2 linked regions of the Caenorhabditis elegans genome follow. The protein of the gene in region 1 purifies or fractionates together with the protein of each later gene. This does not show direct contact. Each region holds a gene or a part of one and is shown on either strand. Other genes may lie near its edges. The genes, in order: F33H2.2 and R151.8.

The links.
Region 2: the proteins of F33H2.2 (region 1) and R151.8 fractionate together in Caenorhabditis elegans (co-fractionation; one large-scale study listed by BioGRID). This does not show direct contact.

What each region holds. Positions count from the first base shown.
Region 1 is NC_003279.8:15,020,944-15,029,229, forward strand, and holds F33H2.2 (Protein FAM91A1), read left to right. Parts: upstream 1-2,224; 5' UTR 2,225-2,276; coding exon 2,277-2,427; intron 2,428-2,473; coding exon 2,474-2,625; intron 2,626-2,671; coding exon 2,672-2,924; intron 2,925-2,974; coding exon 2,975-3,228; intron 3,229-3,279; coding exon 3,280-3,452; intron 3,453-3,498; coding exon 3,499-3,655; intron 3,656-3,744; coding exon 3,745-4,130; intron 4,131-4,945; coding exon 4,946-5,671; intron 5,672-6,540; coding exon 6,541-6,739; 3' UTR 6,740-6,818; downstream 6,819-8,286. Other genes in the region: dog-1 (Helicase ATP-binding domain-containing protein), read right to left, coding at 1-143, 316-610, 757-834, 881-983, 1,029-1,121, 1,284-1,410, 1,458-2,037; set-10 (MYND-type domain-containing protein), read right to left, coding at 6,829-7,015, 7,277-7,521, 7,957-8,178.
Region 2 is NC_003281.10:7,225,493-7,232,575, reverse strand, and holds R151.8 (Myb-like domain-containing protein), read left to right. Parts: upstream 1-2,788; 5' UTR 2,789-2,790; coding exon 2,791-3,105; intron 3,106-3,152; coding exon 3,153-3,282; intron 3,283-3,330; coding exon 3,331-3,457; intron 3,458-3,507; coding exon 3,508-3,584; intron 3,585-3,633; coding exon 3,634-4,017; intron 4,018-4,062; coding exon 4,063-4,184; intron 4,185-4,235; coding exon 4,236-4,402; intron 4,403-4,672; coding exon 4,673-5,207; intron 5,208-5,257; coding exon 5,258-5,358; intron 5,359-5,405; coding exon 5,406-5,607; 3' UTR 5,608-5,769; downstream 5,770-7,083. Other genes in the region: Double-stranded RNA-specific adenosine deaminase adr-2, read left to right, coding at 1-103, 157-496, 549-782, 827-1,156, 1,230-1,403; R151.10 (uncharacterized protein), read left to right, coding at 1,645-1,777, 1,824-2,392; hsp-75 (Histidine kinase/HSP90-like ATPase domain-containing protein), read left to right, coding at 5,869-6,069, 6,387-6,614, 6,668-7,053.

The sequences.
Region 1 (8,286 bases):
GATCCATCGAAGCATCTCAAGGATCAGGTGTTCAAGGTAGAGAAGATGTCCACGGAATTCTTTTAGATGCACTTCTCGATCTGGAATGTGGAGAAGCTTCTCTTCGATGCCGGTTTTATCCAATTCCGTGTCAACTGCTTTTCCTGTAATTTGAATTTTAGGAAAATTTCCTCACATTTCGGCAGTTTAGTTTGTTTTTTTGTATGTTTCACTCAAAATTCTAAACTATCGAAGAAACTCCGACGAGACAAAATTTGTTAATTCATTATAGCTATTATGTTACATTCTCTTTTTTTCCAGTTAAATCTCACAAACTTTTAATTCTCAGCGACAATATCGAATCATCGAGCTCTTTCTCGGTGAACGAGAAGCTTGCCGCTTCTCTGCACGTGTCTTCGATGTTATGAGCTTCATCCAAAATGACAATCGAGTTTCTTATCTGAACATCTGACGAATTTCGAATCAATGGGTCCACCAGATACGAAAATGGACAGAAAATGATGTCAGCGTCTTGGGTGAGAATTCGGTTTGTGCTGAAGTAGGGACACAGCTGAGGATATGATATGGCCAACGTTTCGACAATTTTTTCCATATCGAATACCACTGTTCCCTGCAAAAATTGATATTGCCCGTTTCCTGAAGCTACTTTTATAATTTTCAATATGGTTAGGTTTTTTTTAAAATTTAGAATAAAATTTTTGATGTAATCTTTAGTTTCCAAATTCAGTTTTTTTAATAAATGAAAAAAAAACGAACATTTCGCTCTAAATGATCCCTTAACGGTAAAGCTTTCTCAAATCGTGGTTTCATAGCACTTTTGAATGAACAACCAATCTGAAATTTTTTTGTTTTAATAATTAAAAAAAAATCGAATTCATACCGAATGTGCACTGTTCACTTCTTTACAGTATTGTGAGATGTCTGCGTGTTTACGAGCGGCCGGATTGATGCAAGATTGTTCTCTGCTTGCGAGAATTGTGTGTCTGAATACAAAATGAGAAGATTTACACTAGGAAATTTGAATTTACTTCAGAATTTTTGCGTATGGAAGACGGGAGAACTCTTTAACGACTTGAGCAATTTGCTTGTGGGTTCGGGTGCCGTAGTAGATTCGGACGCGACTGAAAAATTAGAATTACAGAATATTGTTTGTTATGTTTCCTGGTCTCGCAACGAACCAAATATTTTGGAAGCTGTATCTGTATTGGAAGATCTATTTATTTTTTTTTTTCGCTATTTTTTGCAAAAAAGCAAATTATATATATATATATATCAAATCTTACGGAAGACACGTGCATTTCGTCTCAACGGGCTCCGGTTTTTTTACCGGCTCCAGCTCTTCTTTCAATGTGACGGGCGGTGTTTCTCCTGGTGTATGAGGCGTGAAATCGTGCTCCCATTGTGCCTCGACTAAATAAAAACATTTATGATAAACTCCACTGAAAATAAAATCCTACAAAGTTTATCGTTTTTCACTGGCACAGGCTCAATGAATTCCTCTTCTTCCGGTGGCTCTTCATATACTTTAGATTCTAGCGGTATTCCAATATCGTTAGTGAACACCACCTGTGTTTTTCCTGAAAATCCATGGATTTCACATTTTTCCTTTGATTCTCGCTTCTCATCGATATACTGCTTGAGCCATGCACACGTAGATGCCAGCAGAGCCATAGTTTTGCCACTTCCCGTCGGCGACTCGCCAAGCACATTTTGACTATTTTTCAGCGCCGTCAGAATTCTCACGATCATTAGTTTTTGAGTCGAGTAGAGGCTCAATCCACGTGGCACGCGTACCGGTACACCGAGCATCATGAGCTGCTCATACTCGTCGTTTTTGATCTGAACCCGCTTTCGTTTTCCTTTTGCCGGATTTTTAATCATCTCCCCGGCAATTTCATGGTGTAACGGCTTTTTATCATCGGGTTCTGTTGATGTGGACGGCTGCTCCTCTTTCACAACTTGAAATGCCGATCGGGTATTCGATTTTCCTTTGTTTTTGTTTGCGAACATTCTCCAAAATGCATCGCTTGAGGACATAATTACCTGCAAATGGTATTTTTCTATAAATCGCAATAACGAAAACTTTGAAAAACATTAAATTCAAATTATTTTATTTGGAACCAAAAAACAAATTTTCACCGCGTACGCAATGTGTCGTCACGGTGTTTGCACACATTACCTTATTTGCAGATCTGCAGAGCTCCGCCACGCATATCTTTTTTGCTCAAATTCAGTAGAATTTTAAAATATTTTCCACTCGAAATCTCTGAAGAGGCATGGAAATCGACGACTGTATTCGCGATAATATTCCCTGGGCGAATCTATCTCCAGATATCAAGGTTATACTGGGAAATTCGTCGAAAGAATACGAAAAGAGAGTTTTGGAGTACTCGATTCAAAATCAGCTTCGATATAAGGGGAATTTGAGTAAGTTTTTCAACTTTGAATCTTGATTTCGAACATTTCATTGCAGTACGGCACATGAAAAAGAGCGAGGAAGCGTACTATGAGCAGCTTCTACGATTTTCCGAGTCACACTTGATGCTGTACCCTTATCACTTATCAGACATCACCGTCACCGAGATGCGGCTCTCCCCATTCAGTTATTATGCGAATATTCTTACCGTATGTCTGAAAAATAGTTGATTTTTCAGCAGGATTTAATTTTCAGGAGATGCTAAACACCGAAAAGTCGTACGATTCTCTTCCAAACTTCACAGCCGCCGACGCAGTGCGATTACTTGGGATAGGAAGAAATCAATACATTGAGCTAATGAACCAAACTCGTTCAAATCGGAAATTTCTACGTCGTAGCAAGTCGGCGAGGGAGCTTTTGCCACAAAAACCAACAAAGATGATTGTCGAGTCGTGGTGGAGAACGAATGTCGGTTCGATTCTAGAAAGTGACGTGAAAACACTGAATGGTGCGATTTGTTTTAGTAAATCTTTTTAAAACAAAATTTAAATTATTTAGAAGAAGAGAAACAAGTGATAGATCGCCTCCTCGACACCAACGTGGCAATTCCGGCGGGGCTTCTAAAATATTCTGTTGTGACGTCATTGTATGATCGAGGACTGATATATTTCGATGTTCCTGTTTACGATAACGATTATATCTATGTGGCACCTCTAGATGGATTTGTGATGAATCGGGTGCTAGGAGACTATTTCGAGACTCTCCTCTATAAAATTTTCGTAGCAATTGACGATCAAACAACTGTTTTGGAGGTTTAATAGACTAATTTTCTCATATTAAACACAAAGTTTTCCACATTTTAGATGTCGCAAATCCTACACATCGATCTTCAGCTCGTTAAAAACGCGATTTCCGTGTTCTGCAGGCTAGGATTCGCCAGAAAACGTGTTACCGGCGGAGAGAACCTGACAATCCACACCTCCTGGACGTCAAATTCCACTGTAACTACACCAATGTCACCGATTTCTCCTATGTCGTGAGTGGGAGAAATGTTTGAAAAATTCTTAAATCCTAAGTTACAGAAGTTTGATCACTAGCACATCGGACGAGCTCAACGAGTTGACTAAAACACTGCTACGTGGCGATGACGATGAGACAGACGACGCGTTGTCGCCGGTATCGGAGGATTCAGCTCTTCGAGCTTCTTCGCCAAATCCTTCATTAAATAATTCTGTGGAAGTTAGTAATAGACCGGTTAATACAATGAGAAAATCTCAAAATCTAACCATTTCTGTAGAAAAGTATTAATCTGAAACTTTGATTTTCAGTCATTCCAATCCCTTTCAACATCCCAAACGGCTTCCGACCTATCTGGATCTTCTGGAACTGTTAATAGAGCTGCATTCATCTTCGATTCAACACTTACCGCATTTCTGATGATGGGAAATCTGTCGGCTTCGCTGAAAGGCCATGCAGTAGCACTTTTCGAAGTGGGAAAACTTGCTGACGAGCAAATGAAGGAATTTTTGGAGCAACTAGAGTCTGTAAATCAGTTTGCGGAAGGAGATGCACAGCGATACTCAATGCATGCAACTGCTCTACTGGATTCATTGAAGAGTTTAAGACAAGAACGTGAAGCTGATCTGATTAGAGGAGAAAGTTTGTATACACTTGATGAAAAAAGCAGACAGAGGGTTTTGCAGAAAAGTTATGGGTGAGTTATTATAGAGAGAAAAAAGTGTAACCGAAAAATTTCACACACAACCTCAGCCCTCGATTCTTGGGTGAAATTGAGTTTTCTTAAAAACCATTGGTAATTACAATTTCAAAAAAAAATCTAATTCGCAATTATCTGTATTTAATTTCAAAATTCGTCATACGCTTTTAATTTTTTTAAAGTTCAATTTGCATTTTACAAAAACTTTTTGGCAGGTTTCCAAATTTTGTTGGCAGAGTTTCAAAACTTTTCGGAAATTTTCAAAAATTTTTCTGCAATTTTCCAAACCTTTTTGGCAGATTTTCAAAACTTTTTGGCTATTTTCCGAAACTTTTCGGCAATTTTCCAGAACTTTTTGGCAATTTTCCAAAACGTTTTGGTAGATTTTCAAACTTTTTGGCAATTTTCCAAAACTTTTTGGCAATTTTTCAAAACTTTTCGGCAATTATCCAAAATTTTATGGCAATTTTCCAAAACTTTTTGGCAGGTTGCCAAAACTTTTTGTCTTTAAATTTAAGAGATTGATGAAAATAAATAAATAAATCAAAATCCTCGAACCGAAAAAAGAAGCTGACGGTTAAAAAAACGTTATATTATTTAAAATTCGAATTATTTTCATTAAACGGTTAGATGAAAATGCAAGATACCCTCTTGCATTTTCTTCATTCTATAATGAACAGTTCAGAAACAATGTCTTTTATGAACAAATAAAAAGTTGCAGATTTTCCGTTTTTTTTGCCAATTTTGATAAAATCAATCGTGATCAAAAATCCCCCGACATAAAAAAACGTCGAAATTGTTTTCTTTTCCAGAATCCTAGTTGCAATGGCTCCACTTTCAATCGAAGCGTGTGCAATTCCCGTTCAATCGGTTCCTCTAATCGGTCCACCAAACGCTGAAACCTGCTCCCCGTGGTTCCGTCTCTCAATCTATTCGGCGTGTTCTAGTGGCCCTCCAAGTGTATTTCTTCCACACGGAACTCGTCTAACAACTCTTCCACGTGTACTACAAAGCTTCCAACATCATCGGTTCCTCGTATCAAGTACCAAGCATGAACCACATATTATGACAGCTCAAAATGCACTTTTTGCATTGAATGATATGTTGGTTTATTCATCGATTTTTGTTCAATCAGTACCTCTTGACAGTGAAGATTGTGATAAAATGATCCATGTACCATTTCCATTCGAAGATTTGGAGTGTGAAACTGCATTCTGCAATCATCCAGCGATCAGAAAGCTCCGAGAGCAGCTATCACTAGATTTTACAGCAGGATATGTAATTTTACTTAAAAAATCTGGAAAATCTATCACGACATCAGGCTCAGACATCAGTGGAAGAACAAAAGCGGAGAGCAATATTATGCAGGATGTCTCATTACCAAAAGATGGTGGTTTACTCAAAAAACTGCTGCCAGGCACTTCTTTCGACGATTTTCTACTATTGGATTGTGTTTTTGGAGTACCGTTGTTCAATTCGGTGCTTAACGAGACGATTTGCAAAAGGATTTTGGGGCGCGGCATTTTGGAACAACAGAAGTTCGTTTTTTTCAACAGCCTCTATGAAAATGTACGAAAACAAAAAATTATTCGAAAAAATTATTTTGAATTTTGAAAAGAGTATTATCTTTGCCAAGAATACTTTTCATAATCTTAAAATATCAAAAATAATTTTTTAGAAGTTTCGAAAGTTTAACGTGGCAAATTAATTGCGTAAAAAATTGTGTTTCACAAGAAAAAAGAAAAAGAAAATTGTTCATGTAAAAACCAATTAAGTAAGTAAGTATAAAAACTTTTTGGCAATTTACCAACACTTTCTGGCAGGTTACCAACACTTTGGCAGGTTACCAAAATTTTTTGTATATTCACCAAAACTTTTTCCAATTTACCAAAACTTTTTCCAATTTACCAAAACTTTTGCCAATTTACCAACACTTTTTGTCAGATTAGCAACACTTTTTTAAAAATTAGTGATTACTTGAACTATTTATTCACTTTATTCGCAAAAAAACTAAGAAGCGCAGCAGATTACGAAAAAAAAATTTATCCACGAAATCTGGTATAAATTGAATAAATAGTTCAAGTGTCACTAATACACTATATTCAACAACAAAATAACTATTTTCGATTACGTGACACTTTCTCCGGCAACAAAACGGACTTGTTTTACCAGAGCATTGGGAATTTACCGTATATTTTCTATTAGTGCGGCATCTGCATCCAATAAATTCCACTGTATGCAGCACTGATAAAGAATATACGATATTCGTAATACAAAAAACCACTTAAAGAACCTGGAAGTTCATGTGCAAAACTTTTTATAGCCGTCCACGTGGCAAGATATTTTAGAGAACTTAAAATAAAATGTGCGTGCCCTAATTTTTTTCGTAAATTAGTTTTATTTCCAGCCGCTCGAACATCCAAAACTCGAACAAACAAGTGGTTGGAATGATAAACGAGTTAATTGACACAGCGAACAACGGGCTCATCAAAGGATCACAATTGTTTGTCGAAGGAACCGATCAACAGCGGAACGCACAAATCGTGCCGCCCGTTCGAGCCATTTTCTTTGATTCTAGTCAGCTGATTTCTTATGGAACTATTTGAATTGTGATATATATATTGTATGCTTATGTTAATTAAATTAAACTATTTATCAGAGGATTAAAAATAAATGTGATTTTACAAGAACATTATCAAAGATTTCTCAAATAATTAGTGATTGAATGATGTGTTCCATGGCTAATAATGCTTGATTCGATGGCAAGTTTGATTAGTTTTACTAATTTTACAGATCTTTTCGATGGTGAAATACGAGATATACATTTACATCCAATATACAAACGACGGGTCACTTCTGGAGCGCCGATCCCAAGACGAGTTCTGAAAATATATTAAGTAATGCTTTAAATTCATCTATTCCCGTTTCCGGAAATTATAAATTTTCTAGAAACTCAAAAATTAGATCTTTCAATATTTCGGTTTTTTCCAGAAATAAAATGTTTCAATTTTGTGGAAAATGTTCGTATTTTCATGATTTTAGAAAAAAAAATTCTTCAGAAAACTAGAATCAGATTCGTCTTAAATGTTATTTACGTATACTTTTTCTACATCAACTGAGCTAGGATATTAAGATAAACTTACATAAAATGCTCACTGCCTCTTCCAGCGATCAAGTCCAAATCCAAGTCATTCACATTTTCCAGTGAACTGCTACAATAAGCAATCTGCTCGTCGAGTTGCAAAATTGCCACGTTGCATTCCGCCAGGATGTCTTGATAGTCAGCACGTAGTTTTTGAAGGTAAGCCAATTCTTGTACTGTTGTGAATTGATTTGTTTTATGGAGATTTTCAATAATATCCAAAAGATTTAATGTTGAATGGATGCTCTGCAATTTGAAAAAATTCATGTTTTTCAAAAAAAAGGAGTACTCAATTTACCATAACTGGTACCCAAAAGTTTTTGGGATTTTACCAAAACTTTTTGTCGTTTTCGAAATTTTTTTGCCATTTACCAAAACTTTTGGCAACTAACGAAAACATTTTCGCAACTTACCAAATCTTTTGGCAGGTTTCCAAAACTTTTTGGCAATTTACCAAAACTTTTGGCAACTTACCAAAACTTTTGGCAGGTTTCCACAACTTTTTGGCAGGTTGTCAAAGGCTTTTTGGCAATTTACCAAAACTTTTTTACAGTTTTCCAAAACTTTTTGGCATGTTTCCAAAACTTTTTGGCAGGTTGTCAAAGGCTTTTTGGCAATTTTCCAAAACTTTTCGGCAGTTAACCAAAAACGTTTAATCGACAGTCGATCCTAATAACTAACCTGTTCAAAGGGCAAAAACGCTAATTTCTCACAAACTGAACAGTTTCCAGATCCCTTCACAAATCCCGTGCAATTTTTTGTTCGACATTTTGAGCTTAACCCGATTAGATCCAGTTCTTCATTTTTGCACATTTCACACTGACACGTCAGAAAATGGACTCCGCGGATTGTTTTCCGACGTTCGGATGTTGGAAGCATTCGGGAAACGTACGATATTGTCAGCTGCAGAGTATTGCGTTTAGTAATGCCGTTGAAATAATTTTTTGCATGGGTGCCGCCAAACATTTTGTTGTCAATTTTTGGTTTTTTTTAGTAAAACAGAAAAATCTA
Region 2 (7,083 bases), on another chromosome or scaffold:
TGCTCAAGCATGTTAGCGAATACGTTGTGCCTGCTGTCAAATTTGAGGAGAAAACCACATTTTTCGAGATGCTCAGAGAACATACATACGCGAAATTTTATGAGTCAGTGGAAAAAATAATTCATAGTGAATGTATCCCTTTTATTATCATTTTAGACTTTGTAAGAACAACGCCTTAATCTATGGATTCGAAAAAGTGATCGCTTCTGTTTTCCTGAAAATCAATGGAAACCTCCAAATCATTGCTCTCTCCACTGGAAACAAGGGATTACGCGGAGACAAAATTGTAAACGATGGAACAGCTCTCATAGATTGTCATGCTGAAATTCTCGCAAGAAGAGGCCTTCTGAGATTTTTGTATTCCGAAGTTCTAAAGTTCTCTACAGAGCCACCCAATTCAATTTTTACAAAAGGAAAGAACGCATTGGTGCTGAAGCCAGGAATTTCTTTCCATTTATTCATAAACACCGCACCATGTGGAGTTGCGAGAATAGATGTAACTTTTCAAGTATTAATTTTTGTAAATTCTTCATTTGAATTATTTTCAGAAAAAGCTAAAACCCGGAACATCAGATGACCTTCAAAATTCTTCTCGTCTTCGATTCAAAATTGATAAAGGTATGGGCACAGTGCTCGGTGGTGCTTCTGAGTTTGAAGCTCCACAAACATTTGATGGAATCATGATGGGAGAACGAATGAGGACAATGTCTTGCTCTGATAAATTGCTTCGAGCAAATGTACTGGGTGTCCAAGGAGCAATATTATCACATTTCATCGATCCAGTTAGTTTAACCTGATTAGTATAACATGAGATCTTGATTTTCAGATCTATTACTCGTCAATCGCCGTTGCCGAGTTGAACAATGCAGATCGTCTCCGTAAAGCAGTTTACAGCAGAGCAGCCACCTTCAAACCTCCAGCTCCATTCCATGTTCAAGACGTGGAAATCGGAGAGTGTCAAGTGGAAGATACTGAGCAATCAACTTCTGCAGCAGCACGATCCACGATTAGTTCGATGAATTGGAACTTGGCTGATGGAAATACAGAAGTTGTACGAACATCGGATGGAATGGTTCATGATAAGGATATGAGCGGGGCTGACATCACGACTCCATCCAGATTGTGTAAAAAAAATATGGCAGAACTGATGATTACTGTAAGCTGGGGGAAAATAAAAATAATTTTCTTGATGTTTTGAGTGTGAAACTCAACAATTCCTTCTATTTCAGATCTGCACGTTGACAAAGACTTCTGTGGATTATCCAATCTCATACGAAGAACTCAAAGCTGGATCTCAAGAATACGCTGCTGCAAAAAAGTCGTTCATTACCTGGCTGCGACAGAAGGATCTCGGAATTTGGCAACGAAAGCCACGAGAATTTCAAATGTTTACTATAAATTAATCAATGCAATTTTACCTTTATTGTATCAAAAGTTCAATGTGGTTCCACTTTTAAAAATCTCATGCAGCATCGTGTATTCATTCCATTTTAGCTGTTAACTCTTAATTTCTGCATTAATTAATTGTTAATCTTTTATTTTTTGGACTTACAATTTTCAGTGATTCGAGTTACTTATCTCGGAGTTGAATATTATTTAAGGAAACGAAAACTGGAATAAATATGTTTTTATAGAAATTTCCAGATGCCTGCATCAGTGACCCATGTGATTTTCGATTTTGACGGTCTTCTCGTCGACACAGAATCTGCATACACGGAAGCGAATATGGAGCTTTTGAGAAAATATGGACACGTTTTCACAATGGATTTGAAGAGAAGTGAGAAGAAATATCAGAAATATTTTTATTTTAATATAAATTTCAGGGCAAATGGGAAAACGCCATGATGAATCGATCCGATGGCTAATCAACGAACTGAAAATCGGCGATCTTGTGACACCGGAAGAGTATTCACGTCAATACGATGAACTTCTCATCGAAATGTTCAAAAGGAGTCCTGCGATGCCTGGAGCTGAGAAACTGGTTCGTCACCTTCTTCATACCGGAGTTCCAGTTGCATTGTGTACTGGATCGTGTAGTCGCACATTTCCAACGAAATTGGATAACCACAAAGATTGGGTGAACATGATCAAGTTGCAAGTTTTATCGGGAGATGATCCTGAAGTGAAACACGGAAAACCACACCCAGATCCATTTTTGGTGACTATGAAACGATTCCCACAAGTTCCAGAATCGGCGGACAAAGTTCTTGTATTTGAAGATTCGTACAATGGTGTCTTGTCGGCACTCGATGCTGGAATGCAATGTGTGATGGTTCCAGAACGATCGATTTTCGACCCCGATTCAGACCCAGAATTCAAAAATCGTGTGACTGTGATTTTGAATAGTTTGGAACAGTTTAAGCCAGAGGACTTCGGATTGCCCCCATATTAAATATATCATATTTTTCTTTCAAAAAACTGATGGTTTACTTCTATCTGTATTCGATCGTACTTTGTGATATTCACATAACCATTTTATATTTCTAGTTGTTTTTTTTTGAATATATTTTTGCAACAGTTTATTTCACATTGACTCTTTCATCGATCGATAGTGTTTGAGGCACTAATTATTATCTTATTTGACTTTCAAAGTTAAGGCAAATATATTATAACTGATTTTCAAATTTTTCTACATCAATCCAAACTGTATTGTGCATATGTTGCTATGCTATGTTCCTTAATCTATCTTGAATTTGGACATAATTTAACTGTGTACAAATGCGCTCTGGTGGTAACCGCTAATTTTGAAAAGAATTCTCGATTATATTTTCTTCATTTTTTGTTTCAGAAATGCAATCAGATGAGCCATCAACGTCATCTGCCAGTTCTTCTCGACGACGCATCGCCTTTGGGCGGCCTCCCGTATTGAGGGAAAGACCGCTTCAATCACCTGCACCGATTACATCGACTTCATTGACGTCCGGGCTAGACAAAGAACCTCAAACATCAACTGACAACACTACAACAAATGGAGAAATATTGAACCCGTCAAGTTCGGAACCCACGTGCACTTCTGTACTTTCTGACCAAAAATCGCTAGATCTTCCAAAAAGAAGAGCTTGGTCTTTTGATGAAGTTTGCGCTTTTCATGATGGAATCAAGCTTGTGAGTCATATATATTAACAATCTCTGTGATTATATTATTGTTTCAGCACGGGAAAGATTTTGACAGTGTTGTAAAGTTCATGGCGAAGCGAAAAATGGAAAAGACCAAAGATCACGTGAAGACGTTCTTCTTCAATTCGGCAAAAGCATATAAATCATTATTGGCAATGACAGATGGTAATAAGAATATATTTTAATCTGATCTCACATGTTTGTTAAATTCAGATGATTTTGCAAATATTCCACGAGATGCTCGAGAACTGTTTCTTCTCATCAACGCGTGCGAATATAAGCGTAAAACTGTTAATATGAAGGTTATTGTAGAGAAGTTGAAGGAGTTAGTGTTCGAAGGGTTGGTTTTAAAAAATTTGAACTTGAAAAATTATTACTAAAAGTTTGCAGAACTGTTGTCGTCAGAGCTGGTAGGAAATTGGTAACGATTAAAACACCACCTTGCCCAGCACTTTGCAGATACTTCAGTGAGTTTATGGATTGGAAATTAGTTTTTATTTAGATTATTGTTTTAAGGCGTCAAAAAAGGTGATAAAGTTCCAAATGATCTCTACATTCACCTCGAGCCAACAAGCAATGGAGACCATGTTTTCATGAGACAACGTAATCAGAATCCATTTCTTCGTGTTAAACTCAATGCAAACGATCGAATCACAAAACTTCTCGAGTTTTTGCACAAAAAATGGTCATTGGCAGGAGATTCTACCCCTATTTCAGTCACTTTATGGCCGGATAGTTCTTGTGAAATAGCGAGTTTATGCGTTCAATCGGCCGAAAATTCACCGTTCATCTCGTTGTCTATGAACAAATTGATTAAGAATGTAGAAGAGAGTAAGGAGAAGCTGGAAGCTAAGAAAATAGAAGTAACTGGAATAAAAGTGGCGACGGATGTTAATATCAGTTAGTTAATGATTCAGTTGACAAAAACATTTATTGTTTTTTCAGAAACAAAACCATCTCATACTGTAACTTATCCAAGACCTTTCACGTTAACCGATGAAATTATTGCGGAAGGAATAAATTCTAAAAATGTTCGAAATGCAATTGTGGCGGAACTTTTTTGTGTTGTAAGTTAATTTAACACTCTTATTATCAGTTTTATTTGTTCTATTTTTCAGTGTGGCCGTAAAAATCCAATCCAATTAAGATATCAAGTTCATAACGAGAACCAACCTATTCAAGCATCTGAACCCTGGAAAGTAATGATTAATCTATTAAATAGAGGATACGGAGATTGTTTGGCGCCGAGTAAGACCAGAAAAAGAGACAAACCAACGGCAGATTCGTGAGTCGCTTTTTCCTCCGATCCGAGTATTTTCAATTTTCAATCCGAGTCAAGAGTGTCATTAAAAAATTAACATTTTTGGGAACATCGAGAGATCAAAAAATATTTAGTAAATTAACAATAAAATTAAATTTTTCATCAAATTTTGATCATGTTGATGAAAAACATAGCTGCTAAAAAAATGACAAAAATTTAAGATATTTTTCTAAATATCGAAAAAACGAAATTTTTCGATGTTCCAAAAAGCTGTTGTTCCAAATATCATTACAGAGAACCAAGTTCGTCAGCTTCGAAAAAGAAAAAATGTGATGATACTACTTCGGATGTTCCTGGCAATCCAGTGAGCGACATCGTTCGACAAGAAACTGAAGACTTTGCATGTCAACTCGCATTTCTTAAAAAGACAACTCGAAAGAAGACTGCTCCAGCAAAACGAAAACCAACGAATCCAGTACTTGCAACAGTTACTCCTCAACTACTGATTCGTCCGCCACCCGGAGAGTCAAGTTCCGCTCCTGCGATTCAGGATCTTATGGTGAAACAAGTGTTCGCAGCACCAAAAACTACAATAATTCCGAGAAGAACCTCTACATATTCGGAAAAGAAATCTCTACTTCTATCAAATGCTCATAAAATATCAGAACTCACTGCAACTTCTGACTCACCAAGTACAAGTACTCAAGGACCAACTGATTTCTCATCTGTCGTGTTCTCTCCAACAAAACGAAGTGCAGATCCTGAATTGCAAAGAAAAAGAAATGATGCATTTTTATCATCTCTACGTACACCAGATCCAACTCCGAAGGTATGCAATGAGACAATATCGAATTGTAAAAAAATCTTCTAATTTTTCAGAAAGACAGCATTATGCAACAATATTTCGGTGGAGATCTATCAATGTCACCTGGATCGACACGACATGCATCTCATTTGGAAACTCCTGGAGGAAATAACACGTAAGTAAAGAAATAATTTGATAACAAATAATACAACTGATTTTTAGAACAATTGACTTCACCGACATGATGTACCAGAATATTACGAATCACGGAGATCTGACTACAATTTCTAATCCGGCTCTGCATTTCTCAGTTAATGAAGTTCACGAAAAATATCACGATATGATTTCTTCATCGCAAGATAGTCAGGATTACATTCTATCGCACTTTCAGAAGAAGAAGACCACGCCCAAGAAGAAAAAATAGTTTTTTTTGCTTTCTGATATTGAATCTCACGAATTGTATTTTCTTAAATATTCCATATTATTCATTTTCTGTACTACACTCAATTTTCCATTGAATTTCAGGTTTTTACTTTTTGCATTCCTTAATATTTCGATTCTTGCTTCATAAAATTTTTTTATACTGTTTTATATCTGCCAAGAGTTGTTTTATGAACTGGTTTGTTTTCCAAATATCATTATCTCCATCCTATTGCCTTTCCAGATCCAAAAATCATTTTATTAGATGTCGCTCCCGGTACGGATGTTAACTGGCAGGATCATGCGAACAATGAGATACGTAGCTCCCATCACCGCTTCACATTTCACCCCTTCTGTACCAACACAACGGAGATGGATGGCTTCTGAACCACAGAGACATGAATTCCAAGCAGAGACACGGAATCTTATGGACATTGTCGCAAAATCCTTGTATTCACACAGCGAGGTAAATATTTTTTAAAAAGTTCAATATAGCCCAGACACAAAATTTTTTGAATTTTGCGTCAAAAGTACGGTACCCGGTCTCGACATGAACTTTGACAAATCGTGCGAAAACTTCAAAAAAGCGATAAAAATTCTGCAAAAACGAACATTTCAAATTACAGTACTCTTTAAAGGCGCACACCTTTTTGTCTTTAACAAAGTTTGTCGTGTCGAGACCGGATACCGTATACTTCGCGAAAAAAATTGGCAGAATATTTCCTTATTCTCAAAAAATATAGGAAATTGATGTATTCCACAAGTATTTAATTTTTGTTTTAGGTATTTGTTCGCGAGCTCATTTCCAATGCTTCGGATGCTCTTGAGAAGAGACGATACGCAGAATTGAAAGGTGACGTGGCAGAAGGTCCAAGTGAAATTCGAATCACGACTAACAAAGACAAACGAACAATCACATTTGAGGATACCGGTATCGGAATGAATCGAGAGGATCTTGTAAAGTTTTTGGGAACTATTGCAAAATCAGGATCGAAGGATTTCATTGAGAATGTGAGGATAAATTCTGATAAAACAATGAAAATCATATTTGTTTTAATTTATAGAACAAGGAAAACGCTGAAGCAGTTATTGGACAATTCGGAGTTGGATTCTACTCAGCTTTTATGGTTGCTGATTCCGTTGTTGTCACGACTAGAAAAGTTGGTTCATCGGATGCCGATGGCCTTCAATGGACATGGAATGGAGACAACTCGTATGAAATTGCTGAAACATCCGGGCTTCAAACTGGAACTAAAATTGAGATTAGACTGAAAGTTGGAGATTCGGCAACCTATGCGGAAGAAGATAGAATCAAAGAAGTTATCAATAAATATTCGTATTTTGTTTCTGCGCCAATTTTGGTGAATGGAGAGAGAGTGAACAATTTGAATGCAATTTGGACGATGCAGGCGAGAGAAGTTAACAAAGAAATGCATGAAACATTCTTCAAGTTAGTTAATGTAATTTTATTTTATAGATT